Linked DNA regions of Danio rerio. The protein of the gene in region 2 purifies or fractionates together with the protein of the main gene of each other region. This does not show direct contact. Links are inferred from orthologs where the notes say so. Each region holds a gene or a part of one and is shown on either strand. Other genes may lie near its edges.

Region 1 (2,938 bases), on a different chromosome or scaffold from region 2:
TTTATTTAATAGAAAACAGATAGGAGTAAAACTCATGAATATGTAATTTCTTATTCTTGAACTGATGGCTTGTAAAAAAATTATTTCTCTTTGTAAAATTTATAAAACATGACAGACTTTTTTACAGTTAAAATCAAAATAATTAGCCCTCCTCTGAATTATTTTTTGCTGTATAAAAATTTCCCAAGGGATGTTTATCACAGCAATTACTTTTTAAAAGTACTTCCTATATATATTTTTTCTTCTGGACAGTCTTAATAGTTTTATTTCAGCTAGAATTAAAACAAAATCTGACTGTCTACAGAGCAAACTATTGTTATACAATGATTTGCTTAATTACTAACTATCCCAATTAACCTAGCCAGGTCTTTGAGAACTAGTATCTTGAAAAAGATCTAAAAATTATGCTAAAATGAAAGAAATCAGTCATTTTAAACAAACCTATTTCTTAATTTGCTTAATTCCTGACATTTCAAGTATTGGCGTAAGCTTAACAATTCCCAATTTGCATTACTGGAGTGATCACAATGTCTACATTAAAAAAAATATTAAAAAGAATGAGTCAATTTGAAACAGTCTTTATTAAGGCATGAAAAACAACATGAGAATTTATATTTGCTGAAAAATTTATTGTCCTCAAAACATATGCAATTCCATTTCAGCAGATAATTTAAATTACTCTTGTGAGGGTGAAGAATAAAATGAAAGAGTAGAGGAAATATTCACAGTGCAAAAACACAATATGTAAATCAGCGTTCCAAAACGTTTGGACACCCCTCTCTCGTTACCTTGGTAACAATATTTTCATACTGTCAATGATATGTTTCTCTCCAACTCAAATTGTACAAGAGATGAGGTACAAAAGGGCTTTTGCAACTCTGCAAATTTTGCAAATCTGCAATCACATTCACATTTCTAAAGTGCTTCCTCTACAAAAGCCTTAATGCAAAACCATGATGTAAAAAGAATCTGCAACAATTTTAAATGAGAACCAAAATATTCATGAAAATTCAGAACCCAAAATAAAATAACCTGTCACTCAAGTAGGAACTCTCTTCCATTGACGGGAGAGGCTAGCTTGGTCAACAACAACAAAATAACATGTTAACAAATTCTCATGAAAGTTGAACAGTACTTAAGCAGTTTTTTTAAGATGATCAAGTGAAATTAACGGTTAAACCTATGAATTAAACAGTTAGTTTTGTCTTATGCTCATCTCTCCCATTTTCATCTTTTTCCTTGTCATCTTTGTCTTTGTCCTTGCTCTTTTTCGACTTCTTTTTTTTATGTTTGTGTTTTTGTCCCTTGAGTTCTGATTCAGATTCATTACTTGTATGTTTCTTATGCTTTTTGTGTTTTTTGTGCTTTTTGTGTTTCTTCTTTTCCTTTTTCTCCTTTTTGTCCCTTTTCTTCTTTTTGCTGTCCTGGCTGCCTGGAGAGCTGGGGCTGCTGCTGTGTCCGTGGCTTCCAGACGGGCTCGGGCTATGGCTGCCACTGCTGTCCCGCTCTCTTCCTTTCTGCTCTGTTTTGCTCTCAATGTCCGAGGCCTCACTGTCACTTTCACTGTAGTCAGGGACAAACGCAGCCTCATCGGTTTCCCGTGCTAAATCTGAGGAGAGTCTTGTCAAGCGCGCAGACGGTATTTTGATATGGTCTACATGTGGAGCACTTTTCTCCGCATCAGTCCTTGGCTCAGGAGTCAAAGTTATATGTGGAGTCCTGTGCTCTTTGTCTTTACTGGGACGCACTTCAGAATGCCTAGAAGACTGGCTCTCTCTGTGGTCCTCTGGACCTGATCGTTTTGGCTCAGAGGTATTTTGAATTGGTGCTCTCTTAGTCCTACTTGGACTTTGTGACTCTTGAGGTGCTTCAAGATTTTTTCTCCCAGAGTCTTTGTGCAAGTCCTTCACCCTTGATGGTGGGGATGATGGTATTCTCCTGATTGGATTTTTCTCATCTTTTGATCTTGTACCCAAGTGGTCTTTTGTATCATCTCTATGCTCTGGTTTCCTACTGGTGGGGCCTGTAGTCGTCTCCCTACCTGTTGGCTTTCTAGAGTTTGGTTCAGCTTTATCAGCCTGCCTGTCTCTAGAAGACTGAGAAGAGGAGCTCCGCTCACTGCCATGGTCACTGCCTTTCTCCTGTGCATGTGCGCTCTCCTGATTAGGTACACTAGGTTTCTTTTTATCAGTTGACTCACGATCTGTAGTGCTGCTGCGATCTTTTTCTTTGGTTCTTTCTCGTTCTCTGTCTTTGTCAGTATCTTTCTCCTTATCACCTGAGGTGGAGTCTTTGGCAGGTTTGACATCAGCCTCTTTCAAGGTAGATTGGGCTTTGTCAGAATGGGGAGACTCCTTGTCAGATAATTTCACAGCAGAGTTCTCCACTGAAGGAGCAGCGACAGATGTATCGGCACTGCTCGTCCTGTTGAGAACCTTAGAATCATCATCCTCAGATTCATAGTCCTCCTTTTCCCACTTAGAACGGGGCACTTGTATCATTACAATTTCATCCTCAGCAGGGGTGGAGCTGTCATTGGTGTATTCTTCCAGGGTCTTCACAACAGTCTTCTTTAAGTCAATCTTCTCCTCATGCTTTCTGATGGGGCTTCCACCTGTAGAGCTGGTGCTGCAAAATACAAATAATCAAATATAAATAAGCTAATGTTCAAATTAAATGGGAAAAAAAGCTATTTAATACTTCTCACCTGGTATAATCGACAAGTAAAGACCCTGATCCATCCGGAGCATGTACCTTCCTCCTCAGTTTTCCTCTTGACTTATCAAGCCTGCCCTTTCCAGGGCCATGAGCGGAGTCCTCAGCTAAAACTGGTCGATCAGTGCTAGATATTCTCTTGCCAATTTCCCTATTGATTTTAATTTTCCTTACAGGCTCTGGCTTGATATCTAGAAGAGAGGGAATAGCTGGTTTGTCCTTC
Region 2 (3,660 bases):
GCGGTCGTCAGCAGAAACCTTCGACTGCTTGATCAGAGAGATGGCCGTCACCAGAGTCTCTATAGCACTGCCGTAATCAGCTGCAGAAACGGAAACGGTTAATTCACAACACACCACACCTCATATTTGTGCTGGGTGTAATGATCTCCACACCTGCACTGGCATCAGAAACGGCCCTTGAAATAGCGCTGCTGGAAATCGCTCTGTTCCGGTTCATGATCTCCTCAAACTCAGCTTCGCTCAGGGGAGTGCGAGACGCATCCATGTCCCTGAAGCACACAAAATGCTGATTAATGAACACGCGCAAACTAAAAGCACGAGTCAGAGCGAAGCGTAATGCTTCAGGGATCGAATTCACACAAAGAGCTGCAGTGGTCGTTAGTGCTGAATCACATTGCATCACATGTTAAATCAAAGTGAGGCACAGACATTTCAGCAACTAAAAACTAAAGCGACACCAAAATAAAAGGAAATACCATCCAAATGCAAGATAGACAGGTTTAAAAAAATAGTTACGTTTCACGTATGTTTTGTGGTATTTTTGTTGTTTTCTGCTTTGCGCTCTTCTCTCTCTCTCTCTCTCTCTCTCTCGCAGTGGTCCTATCCTGTTTCAGGTGTGCTACCATTGGTCGAGTGAGCTGTCATTCACCTTCGTCACTCAATCGGCGCTAATAAGGATTGGGTCCGCGCAGTATAAAACCGGTGCGCTTGCGCTGTTCTGGAGGAGCGCTTGGCCTGTCAATCTCTCAAACTGTTGACTTGTTTGTTCCGCTTGGTTTGTTTGCGAGTGCTGTGTTCTAGTTTTCTCTTTGTTGATATGGATTTATCAGTTAAACTTGTGCTGCTCAGGTTAATGTATAGTGAGAATATGAACGATCTTTATGAGAATTGGATTACCTGAGATCTTGTTTTGCTAATGGCTAACAGTCTGTACTTTACAAGAATTCTAGTATTTCGAGCAGCTTAGTATAACTTTGTATTAGTTCGTTTTTGGAGGCGTTGCCTCATGTGTAATTATGTTTGGGAGTTATGAAGTTTAGTTAAGCTACGTGCTGAAGATTACTGTTTTGTTTCTGCATTTTTCTTTGATCAGTCAGTTTAGTGGGTTGGGGTTTAGTTAGATCGTTTTGTTATATTTATTTCTTTGTTTTGGCAACACTCCTATTTTTCTTTATTTAATTCAATTATTTAAAATTACATTTATCTTCCATCTCATATTCATTGTTTGACATTATCCATTAATAAATACTTACTTTTTGTTTCACTTATCAAGCGTTTGTGTCTTCTCCTTATTCACCCAGCATCAATGGACTCACTGATTGTTACGTATCATCCTTTTAATTATTTAACATCATTAACACGTAACAATATATAAATACATTTAGGAGTTCACACTTAGACAATGCTTAACTATGATAGCAGGTTTGGCATGCTGTCCCAGGAGAGAACCTGAATCTCAAATCGAAGAGCACAAGGTTCCCGTTTGGTCAATGAGCATTAGTTTGGATAGGAGATCGGGTATTCTTCGAGAGCCCTCTCGTTTGTTTTATACTATGGTTAATATGGTGGTTCTGACTGATTCAGTATGTATGCGTTAAGTGCTTATGACTTTACAGTTCGCTTATGTACATGTTTTAAGACTGTTGGAGGAAACCGGAGTACCCGAGGAAAACATACGGGAACACAGGGTGAACATGCAAACTCATGGCAGAGAGTAACGACTGGCTCAATTAGAACTTGAACCTTTGGCCCTCCCACTGCGAGGCAGCAGCGCCAGCCATTGAGCCACCCTGTTGCCCTATCATATAATTAACGAGGAAGGAGAAGGGAAGGATAGAAGGGGGTTTGCCAAAAACGAAGACAGGGAACGGAGTTTAGGCAGGATATTCATAGTAGTTTTGGAATGATCTGATAGGCTAGCTAATGATCAGTGATGAGGATCAGCTCTAGTTGATCATATCACGTGCTCTTCTAGAAATTAGTTTGTGAAACTTCACTTATTTTTTAATATTTATAAAATGTTATCAAGTTATGGCTGTCAATATTAAAATGTAATGTGAAATGATTAAATTACATCTAAATGTGCTTCCAATGAAAAACAATTGAATGCATATTTGCAGTGTTATCTGTTGTAGTGAGCATGCCATCACAGCATACTATAGTAAGACTGTTCATTTAACTGTGCACATACACTTCGGGCTTTTTAGAGTATAGGTGTAGTTGTGGGCGATGTGTTTATTACCTGCCACCAGGGAAGTCTCTGTCATAAGGAGGTGGGCGGCCGTACGGGTCTCCAGGTGGGGGTCCTCTGCCGTCAGATGATGGCATGTTGTTTCCAGGTGGTGGGAAGAAGGCCGGGTTGACGTGAGGAGCCGGCGGTGGGCCTCCAGGTGGGGGTCCCTGCATGTGTGGTGGGGGTGCGAGGCCAAGCGGGGGTCCTAAGGGCCCAGGTGGACGGGGAGGGAAGGGTCCTGGAGGGGGTGGTCCCTGCTGAGGTGGAGGGGGGCCTGGGGGAGGCCCGTATCCTGGTGGGGGAGGCCCAGGAGGCATCGGGCCCATTGGGGGTTGCCCGAACTGACCAGGAAACAAGACAGGTGGAGGAGGACGGTCTCCTCTGTTAGGGGGTCCGCCGAGGGGAGGAGGCAGACCTTGTCCAGGTGGAGGGGGGCCTGGAGGTCCCAGGGGCCCAGGTGGGCCAGAGGGAAGACGTGGTGGGCCCTGCATACCTGCAAGAAGATTTGATGCATTACATTTTGAAGCAGAGAGGAGAAGGGATTACAAAAATACACATGAAATCAAAACTAACCGTATGATTTTGGGAGCTCACACTGCTAGTTTTGTGGTGAACATTAAACATCACCCATTCTTGATTTAGGACAATTGATCAACTTTTTCTGATTCACTTGAAAAGTGACCCATTCACCTCAGAGCATCAGTTTTCAGACCAAATATTGTTGCCAAATATTTGTTATTTCCTTATTAATTACTGATCTCATTTCATTCCTTCCCAAAGGTACTTTAACATCTACTTGATTTTTCTTCAATGATTCTTTTTGCCAATTTATCTGCCAATTTTATTTCCCATTATTCCAATATGTGCCGGTCCACAACAAAAATGTACATTTTTACCCTCTACTTTAAGTCTGTATAATGTTGTAGAAACTTGCATTATTAAATCTTCTCTATCAGTTGTTATAGATCCAACAACTGATAGAACAAATTACAGTCCTATTTGTTTCCTCCCATTGCAGACCTATAATAATAGCTGTTAGTTCTGATGTATATACTGACAATTCAAAAGTTCACTCCTGTTCAAGCTTATACCTGGGAAGTGTGGTGGAGGACCGCCAGGTCCAACCGGTCCAGGGAAGCGGTCTCCTTGTCCAGGTGGGCCAGGAAAGCGTCTCTGACCTTTGCCAGGAGGGAATCCTCCACCTCGAGATCCTGAGCCTGGAGGACCAGCCTTCCCCTCTCCTGACATCTGTCCTGACTGTGTGCCTGCGTGGACCAAAACACACTCTTCTAAACTGCAGCACACATACAGCAACGCTATTCTCATTCAGTAAGTTTAAAGTCCCCGTGAAATCAAAATTAACATTAGATGTTAGTTTTAAGGATATCTATAGTCTAGTGTGCTCCAAAACAGTGATAAAATTTACA

The links. Proteins that work in one complex are often made in the same cells at the same time.
Region 1: the proteins of cpsf6 (region 2) and rbbp6 purify together in Homo sapiens (affinity purification with mass spectrometry; 3 studies listed by BioGRID and IntAct, with this or other methods). This does not show direct contact. The link is inferred for Danio rerio from reciprocal best matches to the Homo sapiens genes CPSF6 and RBBP6.

The regions. Positions count from the first base shown.
Region 1 is NC_133178.1:34,277,027-34,279,964, reverse strand, and holds the end of rbbp6 (E3 ubiquitin-protein ligase RBBP6), read right to left. Parts: coding exon 2,708-2,938; intron 2,629-2,707; coding exon 1,188-2,628; 3' UTR 563-1,187; downstream 1-562. UniProt on the Homo sapiens protein: E3 ubiquitin-protein ligase which promotes ubiquitination of YBX1, leading to its degradation by the proteasome.
Region 2 is NC_133179.1:2,380,868-2,384,527, forward strand, and holds part of cpsf6 (cleavage and polyadenylation specificity factor subunit 6), read right to left. Parts: intron 3,499-3,660; coding exon 3,325-3,498; intron 2,727-3,324; coding exon 2,243-2,726; intron 270-2,242; coding exon 154-269; intron 81-153; coding exon 1-80. UniProt on the Homo sapiens protein: Component of the cleavage factor Im (CFIm) complex that functions as an activator of the pre-mRNA 3'-end cleavage and polyadenylation processing required for the maturation of pre-mRNA into functional mRNAs.